2 linked regions of the Macaca mulatta genome follow. The protein of the gene in region 1 purifies or fractionates together with the protein of each later gene. This does not show direct contact. Links are inferred from orthologs where the notes say so. Each region holds a gene or a part of one and is shown on either strand. Other genes may lie near its edges. The genes, in order: SCAP and SREBF2.

Region 1 (3,810 bases):
CCACAATCCCCGGGGTGGACAGCCGCTCTGCCCACCTTTAGCCCCTCTGCCCACCTCCAGCCGGCCGCTGCTCCGCCCCACCACGATGAGGTGGCCCTGCAGCTCCAAGCTCCAGATGGAACCCTCCGCACTGGGGGCCCAGGCAAGGGAAGGGGAGCCTTTCTCAGGGGAGCCACCCTCGTCCTCAGGGGCCTGGGGCAGCACCGGCCCAGGCGAGGGTGGGCGCAGGGCTGGTGTGCAGACGGCCGCCAGCCCCTCCTCCTGGTACACGCGCTGCACCAGGCGGCTGAAGTCATAGCCTAGGGAGTCCCGAGCGCGGCCACAGACCGCCCGGTGCCGGGGCTCAGGCTGAGTGGGCTGTGAGGGCTGTGGCTGCGCCGAAAAGTTGGTGTCAATTAAGCAGGTGAGGTCAGGCTGGTCCCCGAAGAGGGAAGGCGGTGGAGGGTCCCGGGGGCGGTGTCTCAGGGGAGGGCTGTCCCCAGGCTCCTCTGGGCCAGCCTTCCCACCATCTGAAAGTCGTTCCCAGCTCTCCTGAGCCTCAAGCCCGCTGCCCACGCCACTGTCCCGGCGCTGCCTGCTGGGGGCCAGGATGGTGGAGTGAGAGGGGGTGTGGGGGAGGGGGAAAGGGTGAGAGGGGGAAGTGAGGGGCCATTAGAGGGGACAAGCGGAGAGGGTGCGGTGTGGGGGTGGGAGGGAGCCTGGAGGGGTTGGGGGATACGTCAGAGGGAGAAAGGAGGAGAGAGACATGGCTGCACGGGGTAGGTGGTGGGGTGAGGGGGGTGGGGGGTCACAGAGGAGAGGGCAGCCGCACCTACCCTGGGCGCGGGATACGCGTGAGGCAATCCCCGGTCTGTGCGTCCCACACACAGACGTGGCCTGCCAGGCAACAGCTCACCAGCAGCATGCCGTCGCTGGCCAGGCACTCGATATCCTGCGGGAGCCTGGTGTTGGTGTGGGCCAGGCCCCAGCCCTCCCCTGCCTGGCCGTTGTGCCCCCGCTCACCATGAGGTGGCCGCGCAGGACCAGCGGCACAATCTCCGTCTCAGGTGGCGCATAGCCGTAGTCGTCGCAGGGCAGCTCTCCGCGCCTCCGCCGCCCGGGCCCGCTGCCCGGCTGCCCGTAGTTGCGCGGGCACAGCACGCGGTACAGGCAGAGCAGCAGCAGCACCAACACAATGCCCGCGGCTAGACCCAGTGCCGCCACCCTGCACGGGAAGGCGGACTGCTGTGAGACACACCTCATAGCCTGTCCCCTCCCCTCCTCCCTCTCCCCTACTCTTGCCCACCTGTCCCCCTCCCCGCACTCTATCCCACCCCACCCCACCCAGCAACCTTACTTGTACAGTGTGACGTCTCCATGGGCCTGCACCCCACCTGGGCCCTTGGGTCCCGCTTCCCAGTGCCCAGCAGGTATGGGCCCCGGTGGGGGCCAGGCACTGCGGCCATCCTGAGGGTGCCGGCCCTCCAGGGCCTCCCTCGGGTTCAGGCGGAGTGTGACTGGGATGACAGGCAGCAGGCTGATGTACCTGGATCCGGACAGTGGGCAGCCTCAGCGGGGGACCCCCTCCCAAGGCTTCCTCCTACTGTGCCTGCCAGCCAGTCCGCTCCCTCCTCCCCAGGCACGCCTCAGCTCCACCGGCCAGACTCTCCCAGCATGGGGGTTGGGGACAGAGGTAGGTCCCTCCCCAGCCCAGCCTAGCAGCCAACCTTGCTGTCCCAGATACCAGCACCCAAGCAGCCCTTCTGACCGTGTGGGGTATCTCCCTCCCCACTCCTGGCACAGGTGGGTGGGTCTCATTCTAGCAAGGGCTGGCAGCCACCTGTGACTCCTCAGAGGAACCTGGGGTTGCTCTTGGGTTATGGCTGCCTAGACCACCAGTTCCCACCTCACAACCTTATGAATTGTTTTAATTATTTGCAGAATTCAAACTGTGGGCCTACTACATTGGGGAAAGGGGATGATGAGTTGACACCATCGAGTGAGGAGGTGGCACCTGGCATGGCCCAGCTCACCTCTTGGCCAGCGTGATGTTGTAATAGCTGAAGAGCGTCGGCCAGTGGCGGAAGGACAATTTCCTCCAAAGTTCCTCATCCTCAGGCCCCCAGGTTACCTCTGGGACTGGGCTGTCATGGACAATCTCTGCTGGACCTCCATGCTCAGGTGGCTCGCCTGGCGATGTCTGGTTCTCAGGTAGCTTAGGGGCATCAGGTGGGAAGATGGAGAAGGCAGGGTCCGGGTGGCTGGCGGGCAGCATGCCACTAGGCACGGGCATGGGAGCCAGGGCTCCCTCACCCAGCGGGCTCTGTTCCGTCACCTGGGCAGCGAGGTAGGTGCGCAGCCCTGCTGGGTCTGTGTATACCAGGATGCCAATCCAGACAACGGTGCCAGCCTGCAGTGGAGCAGGGTACTCAGTGGGAGGAATGGGCCTCAACCCCAGCAGCTTCAGCCCTCATGCTGAGAGGAAAGCAGCACGGGGACCTGAGGCCTAGGGATGGAGAGAGGACACAGGCCCCACTGTGTGCTTTCCTCCTGCCTCTCCGAGTCCTCCTGCTAACACCTGCCAGCACTTGCTGCTGGAGGGCCTGCTTCCCTTTCCACAGTTAGGGGCTGAGTTTCTTGGCCTGGAAATAGACTGAACCACCCTGAGGTTTGACACAGAATGTCCCGGTCCCTAATCTCCACCTCAGCTGGGATCAGAAAGCTGCTACCATTCATATGGTCAGCATGGCCAGAGGGCCAGCTGCCTGACCTGCTCCAGAGTCCCCCAGAGGGCCTAGTCTCAGGGAGCCTCAGCCTTCCTCCCGTCTCAGTTCAGCTCCCTGGGAGAGGCACTGCTGCCCCGCAGCCAGCGCAGCCTGGCTGGTGACTGATTTTGCCCAGCACTTTCCACTGTCTGCACACCATGCAGCGGCCGATGAAATGTGGCCCAGGGAAATGTGGCCACAGGTGGGTCCATCCCAGAGCACTCGACTAACAGGCTCCTGTCCTGGGCCACTCTCGGGAGAGGATGGCTCCTGTACCTGAGAGCCCTGGAGCTGCTTCTCCCACAGGCTTGTCTCCTCAGAAGCCACCAGGGTCTGGGCAGGGAGGACACAACAGGCAGCTCCCCAGAGCCAGGTTTCCAGGGGCCACCAGAGCCTGAGGAGCATCCCTCGCCACTCTAAGGACAAGTGCAGCACCACAAGAGGCCTGGAGCGCTGGCCCTCCAGAAGAGGGCAGGGCAGGGGTGGCAGGTACCATGATGAGACGCTGTGCCAGGCGGGTGCGGGCCAGGAAGTAGACAACACGCAGCCTCTTGGGGAGCCGCAGGTTTCGGAAGGAAGACGGCTGCAACGTGATGGTGTGGGGTGTGGACGGCCGCACAGCCAGCTGCCGCTCGTAGCGCGTTGGCTGCCCCACTGGCTTGGCTGAGGGTAGGCAGGCCTCAGGGGGCAGCCGCTTGTTCAGGTCCGCTAGCTGTTGGGGGCACAGTGGTCAGGGCCCGAGTCCACCATCCAGAGGGCGCCCGCACAGGACCACTGCCCTGCCCAAGGTCCACACCCTTCTCACCCAGGACTCCCTCAGTACAGCCAGGGCTGAGGAGGTGGGCGGGGCAAGGCTCAGCCCACTCCTACCTCCATCCGGCGAATGTCAATGGACAGGACAGTGGTGAAAAACAGCATCTGAAGGAAGAAGTCAGACACCAGCCCCACGACAGCAAAGAGACAGAACTCCTGGAATCAGAGCACACAGGGTGGGGTGGAGGGGAGGCGGTGCCATGACCTGACTGCCCCAGCCCTAGAGGAGCAGTGCCCGGACTGCAGCCACCTC
Region 2 (3,810 bases), on another chromosome or scaffold:
AAAAAAATTATATCATTTCTCATTCTCTCTTGGAAGGTCTATGCAGTAAGAAAGGAATTCATAACAGAAGGATAATGCTATCATCCTTTTCCTTTTCTTCCTTCTTCATCCAGGTCCTGGTCCAGCCTCAGATCATCAAGACAGATTCCCTTGTTTTGACCACGCTGAAGACAGATGGCAGCCCTGTTATGGCTGCGGTCCAGAACCCAGCCCTCACCGCCCTCACCACCCCTATCCAGACGGCTGCCCTTCAAGTACCAGTAAGAGCTGCCTTCTCCCCCACCTTCCCCCTTTATTCCTGGAGGTGTTAGTCTTCAGAGATGTTAAATCTCTGTATGCTGAGTAGGTATGGGAGGGTCTATAGCACGAATCGGTCAAATTGTAAATGTCACTCCTCTTAGTCGTTTTTTTTGCTCGAGAAAGTATTACCAAGGTGTGTTAGATGTGGGAGTACTGGGGTCTACAAGGAAGTAGAAAAGAATAGCAGAAGGACCCTCTATTCTTGGCTAATAGCTCCACACAGGACCATTCACCTCTTAGGTCCTGCTAAGGACCCTAGGGCCACCAGGCAGGGAAGGGCTCCAAGGTGAGGGACATGGAAGGTACCCCATCCTTCAGTTGTAGGTTCTTAGCCACTTTCAGCATCCTATAGCATGAGAATCTGATAGAGTAAATGGTGATTAAAATTTGGAAGCACTAGCTTTATTCATAAAAGCCAAGAACTGAAAGCAACTCAAATGTCCATCCACAGGAGAATAAGCACATTGTGATATATTCATACAACGAAATTATGCCTAGCAATTAAAAAAAAAGAACGGCTGACAGGCACGGTGGCTCACGCCTGTAATCTCAGCACTTTGGGAGTTTGAGACCAGCCTGGCCAACATGGTGAAACTCCATCTCTACTAAAAATATAAAAATTAGCCGGGTATGGTGGCACGTGCCTGTAATCCCAGCTACTCAGGAGGCTGAGGCAGGAGAATTGCTTGAACCTGAGAGGTAGAGGTTGCAGAGAACCGAGATCGCACCACTGCACTCCAGCCTGGATGACAGAACGAGACTGACTCTCAAAAAAAAAAAAGCTACTGATGCATGAAACAACATGGGGCTGTCCCTCAGAAATAGTGTGTCAAGCCAAACGAGCCCATCACAAAAGAGTTCATGCTAATGATTCCATTTATATAAAGTTCAAAAAGAGACAAAATGAAGCTATGGTGCTAGAAGTCAGAGCAGTGGTGCCAAGGAGGGGAGGGGCATGCAGGAACCTTCTGAGCTGAGCTGGTAGAAATGGGCTATATCTTGGTCTGGGTGGTTATATACATTGTGTACATATGTAAAATTCATCAAGCTATAAACTTAAGATGTGTGGTATTTATTGTGCATGATGTACTTATTGGCAACTAATGAAATTGGGCACCTTTTTATTTATTTATTGGCCGATTAGATATTGAGGCCATCATTCAAGAAAATAAACTAAAATTGGTCCGGACCCAGTGGCTCATGCCTGTAATGCCAGCACTTTGGGAGGCTGAGGCAGGCAGATCACCTGAGGTCAGTGGTTCGAGACCAGCCTGGTCAACATGATGAAACTCCATCTCTAATGAAAATGCGAAAACGAGCCAGGCGTGGTAGCAGATGCCTGTAATTTCAGCTACTCAGGAGGCTGAGGCAGGAGAATCACTTGAACCCGGGGGGTGGAGGTTGTAGTGAGCTGTGATCACATCACTGCACTCCAGCTTGGGGCAACGGACTGAGACTCTGTCTCAAAAAAAAAAAAAAAAAAAAAAAAAAGAGCTGGGCGTGGTATCTCATGCCTATAATCCCAGCACTTTGGGAGACTGAGGCGGGCAGATCACCTGAGGTCAGGAGTTCTAGACCAGCCTGACCAACATGGAGAAACCCTGTCTCTACTAAAAATACAAAATTAGCCAGGCGTGGTGGCGCATTCCTGTAATCCCAGCTACTCCGGAGGCTGAGGCAGCAGAATCACTTGAACCCCGGGAGGCGGAGTTTGCGGTGAGCCGAGATCACACCATTGCACTCCAGCCTGGGCAACGAGAGCAAAACTCCGTCTCAAAAAAAAAAGGAAAGAAAATAAAGTTAGAAAAAATAAGAGGAGAAAACAGAGATGAAGAATAAAAAGAGGGGACCTCCATGGTTGGCCTATTTACTTAATCGAATGGCCCTGATTGAGAGTGTCACTTCTGCCCTTAAGCTTTTTGATGGCGAAATTGTATAAAGAAATGCAGTAATTTGCTTAATTGTCATTTGAGAGGAAAAAATGTGTCATACACTAGGAGGAAGTTTTCTCCGGTACCAACTCGTGGTTCACCGTGTAGAAGTTTAGAAGTGGTTAACAGTTTGACAGCACAGCAGAAATCATGACTTGTTTCTGGCATACCTAGATCAAAACTTAAAACATATTTAGCCATGTTAATCCTCTTGTGTAGTTTATCAGTGTTGATTCTGAAGGTAGGTAGTAACCGAGGTGCCGTGGCTCCTGAGGCGTCTTGGGGCCTGATTTGATTAACTCAGGAAGAGTCTTAGACCTCATGAAGTACTGCCAGGTCTGGCAACACTTGGCCAGGGTAGGCAGGTCTGTGTTGAGGTTGCTTTATGCAGACTAACAAAGGGTTCATTCTGCTCTGTACCTGTGCCTATTCTAGACCCTGGTGGGCAGCAGTGGGACCATTCTGACCACAATGCCTGTAATGATGGGGCAAGAGAAAGTGCCCATTAAGCAGGTACCTGGGGGAGTCAAGCAGCTTGAGCCCCCCAAAGAAGGAGAAAGGCGGACAACCCACAATATCATTGAGAAACGATATCGCTCCTCCATCAATGACAAAATCATCGAATTGAAAGACCTGGTCATGGGGACAGACGCCAAGGTGGGTGCCAAGCAAAATCGTGTTTTATGTTCCACCATGTCCCCTCTACCTGTTTTTGCTTCAGGAGCTTAGAGAAGTCCCAGACTCAAGGTAAGTGAATACAAGACCAAGTTAGAGGTACTTTTTTATTAAAGCATCTTGGTATTGTGTCAAGATTATAAAATATTAAAAACCAGAAGGGTACTGGTGAGGGTTGATGAGGCAGTGACCCACTGAGACCTTTGACTCCTTCGGCTGTGCTCTGCAGTGATGGGGGACTCCACTGTCAGAGGCAGAGAAAGATGCCTGCCACTCAGTAGTTCCAGATACAGGACTGTGTGTGCCTTGGAGTCAGCTGATGGCATCGTTTTAGCTGTGTTTAGGGGTTACCTTTTAGGGAAAAGAAAGAAAAAAGAGGTTGAGTCTTTGACCAGCAACAAATAGAGGAAATTGATTTTCCAAATGTTTCTGGTGTTTTCACTGAATGTGTCTTCTGGAAAGTAGGAGATTTTATTTTTAAAACCTATCTATGTTTAAACCCTATTTTGAAAGAAAATTTCATTATTTTCCTTGTTGCCTACAAATCTGAAAAGTATGCATCCTAAGTAAAAATCTATGCCTTAAGATAACTGTCCAGGCCAGGTGCTGTGGCTCACGCCTGTAATCGCAGCACTTTGGGAAGCTGAGGCGGGTGGATCACGAGGGCAGGGGTTCAAGACCAGCCTGGTCAACATGGTGAAACCCCATCTCTACTAAAAATACAAACAATTAGCCAGGTGTGGTGGCAGGCGCCTGTAATCCCAGCTACTCAGGAGGCTGAGGCAGGAGAATTGCTTGAACCTGGGAGGCGGAGGTTGCAGTGAGCCGAGATGGTGCCATTGTACTCCAGCCTGGGCAACAAGAGTGAAACTCTGTCTTGGGAAAAAAAAAAAAAAAAAAAAAG

What was found.
Region 2: the proteins of SCAP (region 1) and SREBF2 purify together in Homo sapiens (affinity purification with western blotting; 3 studies listed by BioGRID and IntAct, with this or other methods). This does not show direct contact. The link is inferred for Macaca mulatta from reciprocal best matches to the Homo sapiens genes SCAP and SREBF2.

What each region holds. Positions count from the first base shown.
Region 1 is NC_133407.1:110,776,474-110,780,283, forward strand, and holds part of SCAP (sterol regulatory element-binding protein cleavage-activating protein), read right to left. Parts: intron 3,714-3,810; coding exon 3,615-3,713; intron 3,457-3,614; coding exon 3,238-3,456; intron 2,390-3,237; coding exon 2,013-2,389; intron 1,526-2,012; coding exon 1,337-1,525; intron 1,205-1,336; coding exon 1,003-1,204; intron 932-1,002; coding exon 816-931; intron 578-815; coding exon 55-577; intron 1-54. UniProt on the Homo sapiens protein: Escort protein required for cholesterol as well as lipid homeostasis.
Region 2 is NC_133415.1:9,629,570-9,633,379, reverse strand, and holds part of SREBF2 (sterol regulatory element-binding protein 2), read left to right. Parts: intron 1-113; coding exon 114-260; intron 261-2,666; coding exon 2,667-2,888; intron 2,889-3,810.